2 linked regions of the Elephas maximus indicus genome follow. The protein of the gene in region 1 purifies or fractionates together with the protein of each later gene. This does not show direct contact. Links are inferred from orthologs where the notes say so. Each region holds a gene or a part of one and is shown on either strand. Other genes may lie near its edges. The genes, in order: TEPSIN and AP4M1.

Region 1 (8,120 bases):
ATTGAGGTGAATTACCTAGAAAAAAGGCTCAGGATCCCACCAACATAAAGCATGATGGGCAATGGTGAGAGAACACCATTAATAAAGGTGATAACACAGGAAATCTCCCCGCCCAATATCACTGTTGGGTAGGCACGCTACAGGAAGGGGCAGCAAGTCCAGGGCATCCCCACTGGAGATGGTGCTTCCTTTCTCTTCGGTGGTCCATTGTCTTGGGAGGAGGGTGCAGCACCTCACCATAAACACAGCCTCCCTAGGTGCAGGGTGGTGCTTTTTAAGGGTTCAGAAAAGCTGGTGGTCACACACGCCGTCTGGGAGACGCATCGGTGGCAGAGGTCCACTGAGGCCCCAGGCGGTGGTGTGTCTGCACGGGTGCCTGCCCTTATCCTGGTGGAGACACCCCAAACCTTATGTGCTGGGCTGGCGTGGGGGCTGTGTGCTGACTACATGTAGGATGCCCAGCTGTGAGGAGGACTAGCCTTTGAGACGTTCCTCAGAAACCTCACCACACAGCTCTTCACCTGCACCTTCTGAAATAATTGTCATTTCTGTCTGAAAGCTGGAGATGGAAAACCAAAAGGGAAGAACACGCTTGGCATTTCTTAGGCTGAAAGAACTGAAGAAAAAATTCAAGCCTTGAGTTGCAATAATTAAGGATTCTATGGGGAAAATATTAAACGACGCAAGAAGCATCAAAAGAAGATGGAAGGAATACACAGAGTCATTATACCAAAAAGAATTAATCGATGTTCAACCATTTCAAGAGATGCATATGATCAGGAACCAATGGTACTGAAGGAAGAAGTCCAAGCTGCTCTGAAGGCATTGGCCAAAAACAAGGCTCCAGGAATTGATGGAATATCAATTGAAATGTTTCAACAAACAGATGCAGCACTGGAGGTGCTCATCCGTCTATGCCAAGAAATATGGAAGACAGTTTCCTGGCCAACTGACTGGAAGAGATACATATTTATGCTTATTCCCAAAAAAGATGAACCAACCGAATGTGGAAATTATAGAACAATATCATTAATATCACACTTAAGCAAAATCTTGCTGAAGATCATTCAAAAACGGCTGTAGCAGTATATTGACAGGGAACTGCCAGAAATTCAGGCCGGTTTCAGAAGAGGACGTGGAACCAGGGATATCATTGCTGATGTCAGATGGATCCTGGCTGAAAGCAGAGAATACCAGAAGGATGTTTACCCGTGTTTTATTGACTATGCAAAGGCATTCAACTGTGTGGATCATAACAAATTATGGATAACATTGCGAAGAATGGGAATTCCAGAACGCTTAATTGTGCTCATGAGGAACCTTTACATAGATCAAGAGGCAGTTTTTCGGACAGAACAAGGGGATACTGAATGTTTTGAATTCAGGAAAGGTGTGTGTCAGGGTTGTAATCTTTCACCATACCTATTCAATCTGTATGCTGAGCAAATAATACGAGAAGCTGGACTATATGAAGAACGGGGCATCAGGGTTGGAGGAAGACTCATTAACAACCTGCGTTATGTAGGTGACGCAACCTTGCTTGCTGAAAGTGAAGAGGACTTGAAGCACTTACTAATGAAGATCAAAGACCACAGCCTTCAGTATGGATTGCACCTCAACAAAGAAAACAAAAATCCTCACAATTGGACCAATGAGCAACATCATGATAAACGGAGAAAAGATTGAAGTTGTCAGTATTTCATTTTACTTGAATCCCCAATCCACAGCCATAGAAGCGGCAGTCAAGAAATCAAGACGCATCGTATTGGGTAAATCTGCTACAAAGGATCTCTTTAAAGTGTTGAAGAGCAAAGATGTCACCTTGAAGACTAAGGTGCGCCTGACCCAAGCCATGGTATTTTCAATCGCATTATATGCATGTGAAAGCTGGGCAATGAATAAGGAAAACCGAAGAATTGATGCCTTTGAATTGTGTTGGCGAAGAATATAGAATATACCATGGACCGCTGGAAGAACAAACAAATCTGTCTTAGAAGAAGTACAGCCAGAATGCTCCTTAGAGGCAAGGATGGCGAGACTGCGTCTTAGATACTTTGGACTTGTTGTCAGGAGGGATCAGTCCCTGGAGAGGGACATCATGCTTGGCAGAGTACAGGGTCAGCGGAAAAGAGGAAGATCCTCAACGAGGTGGATTGCCACAGTGGCTACAACAATGGGCTTAGGCATAACAACGATTGAAAGGATGGCGCAGGACCCGGCGGTGTTTCGTTCTGTTGTGCATAGTGTCGCCTATGAGTTGGAACTGACTCAACGGCACCTAACAACAACAACCTGAAAGACGCTCCCCCGACCCCAGGTTGGCCTCACCCAGAGACCCGTGTCCCGTGTGGTCACACAGGTTCTGGGTGTTCATGAGTCCAGGGACACGTTCCACCAGCACAGGGTGCCTCCGGCCCTTCATTAGAAGTGACCCTGGAGGAACCAGTGCCCAGTAATATCCCCCTAGACAGCCCCCAGCTGTCTAGGAGGATATTACCTGGGGTGGGATTTTATTTCTGCCTTGATTTTCCTGCTAACCTAGTTTTCTGGACCCTTTTCTGTTGGGAGGTACCACCATCCCCTCCTCTCCCAGGAGGCTGGAACAGCGCTGCCTGCCTGGCACATGCTGGCTTGTTTCTCACCTGTCCGCAGAGAGACAGGCAGAGTCCTGGGAGCACCCAGTGCTTTCTGAAACGTGCCACTACTGGTGGGGTAGATCCAAGGGCGTCAGGCGCCTGGAACAAAGCCTCAGGTGGATCAAGGACGAGAGGGTCTCCACACCTGGGGAGAGGGGACTGATTATGGAATAGAATTTAGAAATGGGCCAGGTGAGGGCCTGAAAACAGGCCTGGGCTCGCTGGGTTGCAGGGCTACTCCTGCTCACTGGGCCTAGTGAGCCATGCTCTGGCATCTGGAGTAGGCTGCTGCATGAGAGGGGATGCCCACTCAAAGCAGTTCCCAGCGTGCCCAGGATTTTTGGGACCCCGATGGCCTGTGGGCTTTAGACTATTTAAATGTACGGCCGGGGCGGGTTCTGCACTTCTGATCTCCCTTTTAGCTCATGGAACGAGAGGATGGGGAGCTGGACTGGGCAAGAGAGATGTCAGTGATGAACTTGGGCTCCTGATACCAAGAGGAGGTAGCAAAAGGAGGGGTAAGGGGTCCCCCTTATAGCCCATTGTTAGTCTGGAAGTGTGACCCCACCTTTTCCTGGGACCAGGAAAGTCAGCTGTAGGATTCTCTACTGCATGGATTTTTTTTCCCCTCATGGTTTGCTGCTGTTCGGTGCCGTGGAGTTTGTTTTGATTAACCACCCCACGTACAATGGAAGGAAACACTGCCCAGTCCTGCACCATCCTCACAATTATTACTTTAACCCTTAAGGTGGCACTTCTAATTTTATTCCTGGTACATCCTTGTTCCCTGCCCTGCCCCCTGCACAGTCAAACAGAATCTGTACCGGTTGTCTTTTAGTTCAAGTATGTTTTATTCTGTCCCACACCCTGTTGTACATTCTTGCTGGGAAACCCACTCCCCCTCTTTCTGCAGCTCTCCCTGCAGAGACGCAGGCCCATTTGAGAGCCGAAGTCTCCATGCCTAGGTTTCAGCCTCAGTGTTAAATGCTGCCACGTGCTGTTGGCAAGGTTGGGCCTGGCTCTGTGCAGCTTGGGTGGGCTGGTCCCTCCTAGCAGCCTCCCTTCACGGTCTTGGCCTGAAAAAGAAGGTACTTTGTCAGCACAGGTAGTTTTCAGGTTAGATATGGCTCCAAAGCAAGAAAACTCCCACCACAAAGGTCTTCCTTGACCAAACTGGACTTAAGAAACGAGGCTGTGGCAGGAGGCTCAGCTGTGTGAACCCCAAAACACCAGGGTGTTGGTAAGGTGACCCCCCACCGCCCTCATCATCTCTGCTAATTTTCCGATGGTTTCTCAGGTTAATGTCATCGTCTTCTAATAAACACGTAAACTCCACGAAAACAAAAGAGTTTTGTGGACTTTTTGGCTGACTGTTATGGTGTCCCGACGTCTAAAGCAGCAGCAGGCGCTCGAGCACTGAAGGAATGAGAGGGAGGGCTACAACCCCGGGTGGAAAGCCCTGGGGAGGCGGGCAGGTGGGCAGCAGGCAGACCACCGGTTCGGGTTCCCTCCTGACCTCTCGGGCCTCCCGGCGCCCACCTACCGCGGCGGTGAAGCACCTCCGCAAGGCCTCGAACTCCTGTGCGCAGAGGTCCTTCCTCAGGCGGCTGCCCGGGGCAGTGGAGGCCTGCACGCACCTGCCATACGCCGCGGCCTGCAGAGGAGTCGGGCGCGGGTCGCGGCGGTCCTCTCGGCGCCAGACTCGTCCCACCGCCCTCCGCTCCCAGGGTCCCTCCGGGTCTCGGCTTCGCCCACCGCCCTCCGCTGCGCGCGGCCCTTCCTGCCCGGGAGTAGCCCCATCGCCCTCCGCTCTTCTCCCCGCGCGGCCCTTCCTGCTCCGAAGACACTGCCTAGTCCTCACCTCGGTCCCGCAGGCCGCCAGGCGCTCGGGGAAAGCGCGGAGGCGGCCTCGCACGCGACTCCACACCGCTCCCTTCGCTGACATGAACGACCGATCCGGGCCCCCGCGGGAGCCGCCATTTTGGGTCCGTCCTCTTCCGGCGCCAGCGGCCTCAGAGAAGCGCACTTCCGCCCTGACCTACACCGAGCTCTCTAATTGGTAGACTTCGACCTTCGCCCTCCACAACCGCCTCCAGAGCCGCGGCTGGTCTCTCAGAGTCTTGCAATTGGCTTGTGTCCTTGTCTGTTCTTGCTCTGGGACTTTGGATTGGTTTATGCTCAAATTGTTTACCGAAGCCAGCCCAGTGCCCGCCCCACCGCGAGCGGTTGGCCAACTGGGCCAGCCCCGCGCGGTGATTGGACGGGTCTGGGCCTGGCGGAAGCAGCGTGGCCAGGAGGTGGCCAGCATTATGGCGGCAGCGCCGCCGCTGCGGGACCGCCTGAGCTTCCTGCACCGGGTGAGTGTCCGCAGTCTGTCAGGTCTGTCAGGTCCTCCCCCTGCTCTGCTTTCTCCCCGCGCGGGCCGCCCGCCTCGGGGTCACCGCATGCCGCCGCTTCTGGGCCCGGCCCGCCCTCCCGGTGCTCGCAGGGCCTGGAGCCGCCGCGCACCGCACAGCCCCTCCTCAGGCCCTCGCTGGCCTCGGCCCCGGCCTCAGTCCCCATCCCGCCAGCCAGCCTCCCACCCTCGGTCCCCTCTGTCACCTCCTCCCTGCCCTGGGGTCCAGCGTCCCGGTCCCCTGGCCTCGGTCCCCTCTGTCGCCTCCCTCCGCCCTGGTATCCAGCTTCCCGGTCTCCCGGCCTCGGTCCTCTCTGTCGCTTCCTCCCTGCCTGGGTGGCCAGTTTGCCGGTCCCCCAGCCTCGGTCCTCTCTGTGGTCTCCCTCTGCCCCGGTGGCCAGCCTCCCGGTCCTCCGGCCTCGGTCCCGTCTGTCGCCTCCTCTCCTCCCTGGTGTCCAGCCTCCCGGTCCCCCAGCCTCGGTCCCCTTCCCAGCTCCTCTCCTGCCCCCCGTGTTCTGCCTCCTGCTGAGGTCTGAGTCTCTCCTGAAGGCTGGGACACCCCCGTGTACAACGCAGGCACATCACTCCGATAGGCGCATCACTCCGACTCTGGTGTCAGCTCTGGGGTTGAAGCCATCTCTTTCTGAAGGACCTCAGCCGGGAAAGTGGGAGCTCTAGGCTGCGAAAGTCTACTTTCTTTCCCAAATTAAAACAGCTTTAAGGAGAAAAAAACGTGGCGGGCATTGAACCCACATATACAGACCCCCTAGGCTCTCTCCAGGTCTGGTTGGCACGTGAGCCGTGTTTGCATTGGCCCATCCTGCCTTGTCCACTTAGCATCACCCAGACACGTTATCGTGCGCTGACACGATACTAGCGGCGCCCGTTTGTACCGTGTCACGTGCTTAGCACCCACGGGGTCTACGTACTCACTGCTTTAAACAATCCCAAACTCTCCTGTGTTTAGGATCAGGTGAACGACACGTTGGCTAATGAGAGGTTGATGTTCTATCCCTGTAAATAGTGCATTTCTTGCTAATAGCCACAGTGTGTGTGTGTGGCACACTGGTTAAAGCACTCAGCTGCTAATCGAAAGGCTGGGGTTCTAACCCACCAGTCAATCCTCACGAAAGATGTGGTAATCTTTTTCCATAAAGGTTACAGCCTTGGAAACTCTATGGGGTAGTTCTACTATATTCTACAGGGTCATGGGTCAGAATCGACTACAGCAGTGGCCTTTGAGTGGGTGCTGAAAGACCTCGGAAGAAAGGCTTGGCGACCTGGTTCTGAAAGGTCACAGCCATTGTAGACACTGTGGAGTACACTTCTATTCCGATACGTGGGTTTACCACGAATGGAGAGTCAACTCAGTGGCAACTAGTTCTGGTGCTGATAGATAAGTGTGTGCCGTAAATGAACATCCGCTTGTGCTGACGGGCAAACGTAAACACACAAGGTAAGCTGGGTGCAGGGTAGTTCTGTGAGGTCCGTGGCGGAGGTGGAGTGATTGGGTCCGTCAGCCCAGGCAGTTCTGTAATGTTGCCACTTCAAGCTCTGTAAAGACTGAGCCGCGTGCTGTATTTTTGTGGGAAGGGCTTGCCGCCAGGCTTGTTTCTCCTGCTTGGCCGTAGACAGCGCATTAAAGGCACTTTGAATTGTGCTGCCCGGCTGTGGGTGGGGGCCATTTGCGGTGCCTGTTTCGACCTGCTTGGAGAGCCACTGCCCCGGATCCTTTCCCTGATGGGTGTGCCAACAGTGAGATAGCTGGAAGCTGGCGCCCCTAAAGCACCAAGCACTGGGATGGCACGTCTCAGGAGTTTCCGGAGCTTCGTCACCTGCAGTGGCTGTGGGCTCACCCACGTGGGTGGCTCCTCACGCAGGGCCTCTTGCTCTTTCCAGCTTCCAGTCCTCCTGAAAGGCACGTCGGATGATGACGTCCCATGTCCTGGCTACTTGTTTGAAGAGATTGCTAGTATCCTTCCTGGGTGTCTGGGTTGGGGGAGTGGGCATCAGGGCCCTGAGTGGCCCAGAGATTACTGGGGTTCTTCTGCTACCCCGAGGTGGGCTCCGCGGGTGCTTGCACCCATAGTCAGGTGCGGGCAGGTCCGAACGTGGTGTTCCGATGACACGGGCCCTTGGGGGAGCATGTGCTGAGCAGGCCGAAGTGACGGGATAGCCTGCCTTCCTTCCCTAACCCCACACCCAGACATCTCCCACGAGTCCCTGGGGAGCAGCCAGTGCCTCCTGGAGTACCTCCTGAGGCGCTTGCAGAGCAGCTCGGGCCACGTGAAGCTCAAGGTGGGAGGGGAGGGGAGGCGGGTGAACTGCCCAGGGTGGAGGCGGCTGCTGCCGGCTGCCTGCCCACATAGCTCTTCCAACCCCAGGTACTGAAGATCTTGCTCTACCTGTGCAGCCATGGCTCCTCGTCCTTCCTGGGCATCCTGAAGCGCAACTCTGCCTTCATCCAGGAGGCCACCGGTGCGGGCGGGCGTGTCGTCTGGGCTGAGAGCACCCCCTCTAAGCGCAGCAGCCTTGCAGCCCAGACTGGGGGGTGGAGCTGTGATGGGGTGACGCGCTCTGCTTCCCCCCGGGGTGGGCTTCCAGAGTGTGCCCGCCTGGTGCCCAGGGCACCTGGTGCCAGACTGAGCACCGCCTCTCCTCTGTCTGCAGTCTTCACTGGGCCCCCCGACCCTCTTCACGGGAACAGCTTGTACCAGAAGGTCCGGCTGGCCGCCCAGGTGAGTCGCCTCCTCCGGGCCATTGTTCCCCTCCACACTGCACAGTAGCTTCATTCTCCCTCCCCCCGACCTGGGTACCCTGGGCTCTGCTTGGCCTGGAACCCCTGCCCCCGCCCCAGAGCCCCGTTGGCAGCCTGTACAGTGCAGAGGAGGTGCAGGTGGTTCTAGGACTGTGGAGAGTGGGGGAGGGTGGCGTGGAGGGGTGGGGGGACAGGGGGGCAGGGGTGTGGTGCGGCGTGCCTAAATAATCTCCGGCTCCTGTTTAGGACTTGGACAGCGCCCTGTTCTCAGATGCGGTGTCACCGCTGTCTGCCCCCCGAGTCCCCAGGCTGCTGCCTCCCACTGGTACGT
Region 2 (7,889 bases), on another chromosome or scaffold:
TATCTGCCCAACGCACAACTACCCGAGGCAGCTGGAGACCTTTGGGAGTTCCCGCACTGGCAACATCTCCTCTCCCCTGCCACTAAACCTCCTCAGGACCTGCTATTCCCACCCACTCCTGCCTCCCAATCCCCCAAGGAATGAACAGAAATGTGGTTCTATGTGTGCCTCTCCCTGGGTCAGATTACTCACTGCGGGGTGCCAGGCGATCAATATAAGACAGGAGCTGAGACTTGGCCACACCAGGATCCCCCATCAGGCAGATGTTGATGTTGCCTGGAGGGATGGAAGGAAGACCCCAAGTGACTATTTTCCCAAAGCAAGTTGTCCAACAACAGAAATACACTTTTGAAGTCTACCATACCCCCATGCCCAATATAATTTCTTCCAAGCCCTCCCTGTGCCCATGAACCAAGATGCCAATTCCCTTATTCTGCGGCCTCTCATTCTTTTTCTCCCAAATGGCTTCATTCACCTCAAACCTCTCTCCCACTCATTTTTACCTCTGATCTTCATGCCTCGAGGGGACTGGTCTACACCTCCCACCAGCAGGAGCAAAAGTGCCTTCTTCACATCTTCATGTCCATATATCTCTGGGGCAATGGAAGCTGCCAACTTTTCATAGAAGTCCTCTTCTATAAGAGAGTTAAAATTACTCACCAGAGAAAAAAAAGGAGCTCAGGAAAAAACCCAAATTCTAATTTTCCCCCTGCCCCTCACCTGCAATCTGCCTCAGCTCCTCCCTGCTTAGCTCTCCAGCCCCGGCCTCATCATCCTCACTCTTATTCATCTTCACAACCCGATGGGCTTCCAGGTAAGTCTCTGAGAGTAAGCCCTATGGCAAGAAAATGCTGGGTATGGATGAAACCCCTTTACCTGTCCCACTCACCTGATCCCCTAATGATTTCCAACAAAGCCCTTTATATATTTTGTTTGGTATTTTGCTGTTAGTAATTTTCCTCGGGGCTAGAGGTGAAGACAATGAGTGAGAGGAAGAGAAAAAGAAATATTTCCTCATTTGAAACACCCTTTCTTACCTGTACCACCTGTCGGAACCCAGTACGCAGGATTGGCAGAAATATACCAGTGACACTGATGTGGTCTCCAGGCTGGGCAATCCTTGTGTTCTCTCCTTCAACCAACACTGTGATGCTTCGGGGGATATTTCCCACAGGAACTTGGTCACTCTAAGGGAGAGAAGAGCATATAAAAAGAAAAGAATGTAAGCCCACGGGATCAAACCTCACCTCCCTAGACATCCCATTCTTCTGCTTCTCAGCCTAGCCAGCTCCAGACAAGCCCCTAGGAGGAGCAAAAGAGACCCCCTTTACCTTTTCCTCACTCAATCAGAAAGTTTCAGCTGAGGTTAAATTTCTTTTCTGCTCTAGGTGACTTCTCTTGCCTCAGCTCTTTCTGCTTTCATTCTTTCTCCCACTCCGCAAGTAACCCCAGGGTTTGAGCAGACTCCCTTTTCACCCACCCAGGGCACATACACCAAACTCACATGCTCCTGCATCTTCATCTCTTGGAATTTGATGAATTTGGAGCCACGTGTCTGCAGATACAGCCGCCCTCCGGAGCGGTTGGTTTGGCACTCTTGGCTTGGGCACATGATCAGAGGCATGAAAGTTGGAGACTGAATCTAGGGTGTGAGAAAAGAAACAATAAAAACAATCAAACATAAAAACCCCTTTACCGTCAGTCACCTGACTCATCATGGAACTGTCTAGAACATTTTTAACCCTTCTGGATCAACAGCGACAGATACCAATATAACCAAACAAATGGCAAAACCACTACATATCCCAATAAGAATGGAAACTAAGCACACAAGTGTGTCGTAATAAATAAAAAATAACAAACATCAGTGAACAAATATAGTTCTTACAAAAACCATTAACAGAGTTAACCGCCTTCGTGTTCCACGCTCCATGCTTACCGGCTGGTAGGTCTCTGCCCCGCACTGATCACAAGTGTAGGTGGCCACCACCATCCTGGGTTTGACTTCAGAGACACGAGTAACGATCCCACGCACAGTTACCAACTTCCCCACCGAGTCAGCCCGTACTTCCCGGATCACACGAGGCTTGCTGCTGCTTGGGCCCTGGAAGTACAACTCACTAAAAGGAGAAAATGGTTATTAGCAGGGTTCTACTAAACAAATTGCCACATTCTTCCCCAGAGGCCACTCACAATCTGCGCATGAGTTCAGGAGGATACTGGTTCTGGGGGCTGCGGGCAGCTGCAGGGTCCCGGCCCCGCTGTTCCATCATCAGCCGATGCTCAATGTAAACATCCAAGACATCTTTATTTACCACCTACAGTAGGACCGACAAAAACAAGGAAAATGAGCAGCAGGACAGAGAAGGAAGGCAGCATAAAGGGCCCCAAACAGAAGTCACCGCCATCACTTTCCTGCCAGTTCAAAAACACCTGAGAAGCTTCTCAGCAAAGACCTAAGTCTACTGGCCTGCCTTTTCCTCCAACCACTCACCTCCCTCTCCTTGTACTGAGGCAGCAGCTCTTGTACGGCATCAGCAAAAAGCCTCGCATAACGCTTAGCGTTCTCACAAATCGAGTCCACCAACTCAGGGTCATCCTCCGCTATATCATCCAGGTCCACATACAGTGCCACTTGTTCCCGATGAGCCAGCTGAACCTGGGGTGGGGAAGAGACAGCAACACTTCAGAGCCAAGTTCACCTTGTTCACCAATGTTCACACATGAAAAGCCATCACTGTGAGCTCAGCAGTCTCGGGGCATGTACAGGGAGAAAGAACAATGTGAGACAGCAATACTCACTCCTCTGCCCCCAAAGACAACCTCCCACCTCCTAAGACATTTTAGTATTATTTTATTATTATTAGTATTATTACGAGTGTACTTTTACACTCATCGTGCATTAGGTGCCATGCTAAACGTGTCATTTACAGACAGATTTACTTGCTGAAACAAGCCAGGCCACCTTTTAGAGCCCCTTAAGCAACTACCCCATTCCCTCCATCTAATCTTAAAACTTACCAACTGGTTCCCATACTTAAACAGCTTCTTGCCAGATTCCTCGTCGTGGTAAAACTCTTGTAGGAACTTCTTAGCCTTTTCTACAAAATAAATGTAAAATCGTGAGAAAAACCCCTTCTTTCAGATACCTAACTAAAAATCCCTTTGATGGAAATCTAAGAAACCCGCTTTCATTTAAAACAATCTGTGCGCTAATTAGGCAAGTACCTAAATAACTACAAAACTCCCCAAACCGGGCAAAACTCCTTTTCACAAGTCTGTTTTTAACCAAAAAAGACTAAGTGGTCCTGGCAGCTAAGAGTATTACCCGACACCCTCCTCGCAGGGAAATTCCAGTCTCTGCCGTAATTAAAACTCCCAGTACCTTTCCCCAGTGGCCTCCCACACTCGCAACACAGGCCTGTCGGTGCTCAGCTTTTCTTCCACCCATATGATCTCCTTTCTTCTCTCGGTCTCATAAATTGCTGTTCTCCTCGGGATCTCTTGCCACTAGGCCCGTCTCCCAGCCCACTCCCTCTCCCCGCCACTGCTTCCGCTCTTAGTAAACAAAGAAGCACATGGGCCCCGAATCCAGCCGCCTCACAGCCCGGGATTCCTCCGCCCGAGGCGGGAGCCCGTCGGCGATTGGCCAGCACGCCAAGGGCCACGCCGTTCCACACTACTGCCTCTTCTCTCTGCCTCCCGCGAAATTCCCCAATTCCAGGCACGCCCCACCCCAGGTCGCTCCCTCCGAGGCTACCGCGCGGAAGAACACTGTTTACACACGACGCTCCCTCCAGCCAGTCGCGCAACTTCCGCCCTGTCTTCATTTCCGCTGCGAGGTTGGCCCACGACAGCCAATCCGGGCGCGCAGCGGCTCTGGCCTTCCCGCCCCTGGGGCTTCGGCGCGCCTCCCGTAGGACGCGGGAATTCGAGAGTGCCCAAAGCGGGGCGGGAAGCGAACCGGGGGTCCCCATCCCTAAGGCCGAAAAGCCCCTCAAACAGGGTCACCTGAGGTCTCGGTCTCGTCTGGGCGTGACCTTCCCTGTGGAGCCTCCAGCCGGGCTCTCCGCCCCTTACCCCCACCAGGACCCCGAGCTTTCCTGGACAGGGTTATCTGTCTTCCTTCGACCCCGGTGCTCCTGTGCGCCTCCCAGACCGTCTGCCTCAGCCTCGCCGTCTCCCGACCGTACCCCTGGCCTCACACGCCCCAGAGCCCGCCGACCCCGGCCCTCCACGTTCCCAGCCTACATCACCAGCTGTTGGCCTGGAGGCTTCCCGTGCAGAACGCCCCTCCCGGGCTTGCAGACCCTTACCTTTCTCGAGCGCGTAGTCCTTAAGTGCCATCCCTGCCAAGGGGCGCGCGGCAGCAGTTGGCGGGCCGAGGAGACTCGCGCCGCGAATAGCAAAGAACGTCCGCGCGGCTGACTGCGCTCGAGCAACTGAAATTGGCGCGAAACGTAGCCCCCCACGTGAGCGGCGCCACTCCGTGCGGGCCAATTGGAAAGGAAGGCCTGTCGCCCTTCCCACTCGCGGCAGGCCCCAGCCGCCCCCCGCTTGGGCCAATCACCGGCCTAGCCTGGGCAGAGTGGCACGGAGGAGGCGGGGGGGTCGGGTGGAGAAGTCCGGGCGAGGCGGGGCGGGCGCCCGGTTTCCCGCGGTCCCAGCCGGCGGGGGCGGAGGAGAGTCGCTCTTAAAGGCCCAGCCCACGCGCGTCCTTTTGTTCCAGAGCCGCAGGGCGGGGCAGGCCGAGGTCTCGCAGTCTTGTCTCCTCTCCAGAACGACCATGATTTCCCAGTTCTTCATTCTGTCCTCGAAGGGGGACCCGCTCATCTACAAAGACTGTATCCTTGACATGCGGGGCGGGGGTGGAGCGACTTGGTGGGAGTGGTGCCCCAGAGACAGGGTGTATCGCCAGCTTCTTAACTGTCCTTCCACCCGGTCAGTCCGCGGGGACAGTGGTGGCCGGGATGTGGCCGAGCTCTTCTACCGGAAGCTGACGGGACTGCCCGGAGACGAGTCCCCGGTTGTCATGGTAACCACCCCGCAATGGGGGGGGTAGGAGATGGCGGGGACAGGTGGGCGCCTCCTAGTCCCCGGGGCTGTTCCCTGAGAGCCTCCATTTGGTGAGAACATTCTCCCAAATAATATTAATCAAAGTTCATTAGGTGCTAACAATATACCACGCACAGTTCCTTGTCCCTCAATTCTCAGAACTCTGGGGTAGGCACTCTTTATTAACCCCGTTTGCATCTTAGGATGCTGGGACTTAGGATGGTTTCAAGTTCACCTGAAATTGCACTGCTATTAAGGAAGCTAGGATGTGAACTTAGGTCTTAACCACTAGCTCTTTTCCTGCCTCTGCCTCTCAGCACCACGATGGCCGTCATTTTATTCATATCAGACACAGCGGCCTCTATTTGGTGGCCACGACTTCAGAAAACATTTCTCCCTTCAGCCTCCTAGAGCTGCTCTCCCGGTGAGGAGGGCTGGGCTGGGCATCTGGGAGTGGGGATCTGAGAGAAGGAGAATATACACACCTCTTTCTTTTGCCTCAGGTTAGCCACCCTCCTGGGTGATTACTGTGGCTCCCTGAGCGAGGGGACCATCTCCCGCAATGTAGCTCTTGTCTATGAACTACTGGATGAAGTGTTGGTAAGCTCAAGGATATCCCTCATTTGTCCCTGTTCCCCTGACATATCCACTCCTCTACGTGGGATCCTATTGTTGGGAAGCTAAGTACTCCTGCTCCTTTTCACCCCTTCTCCCTACTGACCACCCAGCGATCCTCCTTCCATCACCAATAGGACTATGGCTACGTACAGACCACATCCATGGAGATGCTGAGGAACTTCATCCAGACGGAAGCTGTGGTCAGCAAGCCCTTCAGCCTCTTTGACCTCAGCAGTGTTGGCTTGGTCAGTGGAGGGGGTATAAAAAATGAGGAAAGAGAAGGAGGGTTGGCTAGGAGTAACCGAGAAGGATTGATTGCTTTGGGTGTTTTACAGTTCGGGGCTGAGACACAACAGAGCAAAGTGGCCCCCAGCAGCGCAGCCAGCCGCCCCATCCTCTCCAGTCACTCTGACCAGGTGAGGAAAGAATTGACAGTGGCAGACTCTCCCAGTTTTTTTCTGGACTCCAGAGTCAAAGATCCAGGTGTTTCTTTCCACTACCCCTAGAGCTGAGTATTCCTTCCCTCACCCCCATGTCCCCACCCCAGGGCCCTAGCCTCAACTATGCGATCCTTTCAGCCTACCCGTTTTAGAATACAGGCCATTCGGCCTCCAACCACCCAAATCCCCTCTCTTCCTCAGAATCAAAAGAATGAAGTTTTTTTGGATGTGGTCGAGAGATTGTCTGTACTGATAGCATCTAATGTAAGTTTGGATCCCTAGCCCTGGAGCTGAGGACAGATGGTATATGGGAAACACGCTGGGGTGGACAAAATTCTGGGTATTAACTTCCCTGTCACTCTCAGGGCTCACTATTGAAGGTGGATGTGCAGGGAGAGATCCGACTCAAGAGCTTTCTGCCCAGCGGCTCTGGTGAGAAGGCCACAGGCTGGCCCCAGGGTTGGGTAGGGACAGGCTCCTTGGTGGTACGTATGGCGTTGTTAAGTTTTCTGACGTTTTTTTCTAACAGAGATGCGCATTGGTTTGACAGAGGAATTTTGTGTGGGGAAGTCAGAACTGAGAGGTAAGGAGAAAGCCTTTCTCTCACAGGTATTTAAAAAAATTTTTTTTTGTTGCCGTTGGGTCGATTCAGACTCATAGTGAACCTATAGGACGGAGTAGAACTGTCCCATGGGGTTTCCGAGGAGCGGCTGGTGGATTCGAACTGCTGACCTTTTAGTTAGCAGCCGAGCTCTTAACCACCGTGCCACCAGGGCTCCCTCCTAGGTGTAGGCATTGCCAAGATTTCATAGAGAAAACTGGATCATCTTAGAATAGGGGAAGGGCATTTAAGTGTATTAAAGACATCCTCCCCCTCTCCCTGCTCTTCCTTCTCAAAGTATGTCTTAAGAGAGGGGTCTTTCTCTCTTTGCAGGTTATGGGCCAGGAATTCGGGTTGATGAGGTCTCATTTCACAGCTCTGTGCATCTGGACGAGTTTGAGTCTCATCGAATCCTCCGCTTGCAGCCACCTCAAGGAGAGGTCAGGATAGGGGTGGCCCAGTATAGTCTGTCTACTGTCGGAAAAGGAGGCAGTTCAGGTGTGAGGAGACTGAACCAACCTCTGCTTCTCTCTGGTTTCAGCTGACTGTAATGCGGTACCAACTCTCAGATGACCTCCCCTCCCCTCTCCCTTTCCGGCTCTTTCCCTCTGTGCAGTGGGACCGAGGTTCAGGCAGGTGAGATCATTCCCTGTTGTAGAACTTCTCTGGAACCCAAGCCGATACATATGTGTTCCCAGGACTTACTGTGGAGGAGTGGCAGTGGTAGTGATAATAGATTGAGAATTAGAAAAAGGCACACTTTCCTCCATGTGGACTCAGCCCCATGAGAGGCTTGGCTGCTGGAGTTGGGCTGGATTTCAGCACCTTCTCTCTCCCTGGGGCACAATTACACAGCCATGCATGGAGGTCTGGGTGGGGAATGGTGAGATGCCAGTAGGACATGTTCTCGGTAAAGGTGTTTTACCCTTTCATCCAGGCTCCAGGTTTATCTGAAGTTACGATGTGATCTACCTCCAAAGAGGTAAGAGTTGGGTCTGGCCAGGCCTAGTTCAGCTATGTGAATAGGACACAGGGTCAAAATATCTCCTGCCTTTTCATATGCACCCATCAGCCTCAGAATCCCTTTTAACATAGAGTCCCCTAGTTTGGGAAGGGGATGGTAGCACCTGTGTTGTACTCCGGTTGTGACATTAAAGAACGATGGGGACAAGTGA

The links.
Region 2: the proteins of TEPSIN (region 1) and AP4M1 purify together in Homo sapiens (co-immunoprecipitation; 3 studies listed by BioGRID and IntAct, with this or other methods). This does not show direct contact. The link is inferred for Elephas maximus indicus from reciprocal best matches to the Homo sapiens genes TEPSIN and AP4M1.

Annotation. Positions count from the first base shown.
Region 1 is NC_064837.1:71,129,021-71,137,140, reverse strand, and holds the start of TEPSIN (AP-4 complex accessory subunit tepsin), read left to right. Parts: upstream 1-4,993; intron 4,994-5,048; exon of another isoform or gene 5,049-6,235; 5' UTR 6,236-6,831; coding exon 6,832-7,003; intron 7,004-7,237; coding exon 7,238-7,329; intron 7,330-7,415; coding exon 7,416-7,509; intron 7,510-7,701; coding exon 7,702-7,769; intron 7,770-8,035; coding exon 8,036-8,114; intron 8,115-8,120. Other genes in the region: NDUFAF8 (NADH dehydrogenase [ubiquinone] 1 alpha subcomplex assembly factor 8), read right to left, coding at 3,686-3,712, 4,180-4,290, 4,498-4,581. UniProt on the Homo sapiens protein: Associates with the adapter-like complex 4 (AP-4) and may therefore play a role in vesicular trafficking of proteins at the trans-Golgi network.
Region 2 is NC_064830.1:91,608,392-91,616,280, forward strand, and holds the start of AP4M1 (AP-4 complex subunit mu-1), read left to right. Parts: upstream 1-4,636; 5' UTR 4,637-4,786; coding exon 4,787-4,844; intron 4,845-4,946; coding exon 4,947-5,035; intron 5,036-5,372; coding exon 5,373-5,479; intron 5,480-5,558; coding exon 5,559-5,655; intron 5,656-5,807; coding exon 5,808-5,918; intron 5,919-6,008; coding exon 6,009-6,089; intron 6,090-6,314; coding exon 6,315-6,377; intron 6,378-6,478; coding exon 6,479-6,545; intron 6,546-6,642; coding exon 6,643-6,696; intron 6,697-7,047; coding exon 7,048-7,154; intron 7,155-7,255; coding exon 7,256-7,350; intron 7,351-7,651; coding exon 7,652-7,696; intron 7,697-7,889. Other genes in the region: DNA replication licensing factor MCM7, read right to left, coding at 193-276, 504-635, 721-835, 1,038-1,187, 1,505-1,642, 1,940-2,120, 2,194-2,318, 2,495-2,659 and 2 more. UniProt on the Homo sapiens protein: Component of the adaptor protein complex 4 (AP-4). Adaptor protein complexes are vesicle coat components involved both in vesicle formation and cargo selection. They control the vesicular transport of proteins in different trafficking pathways.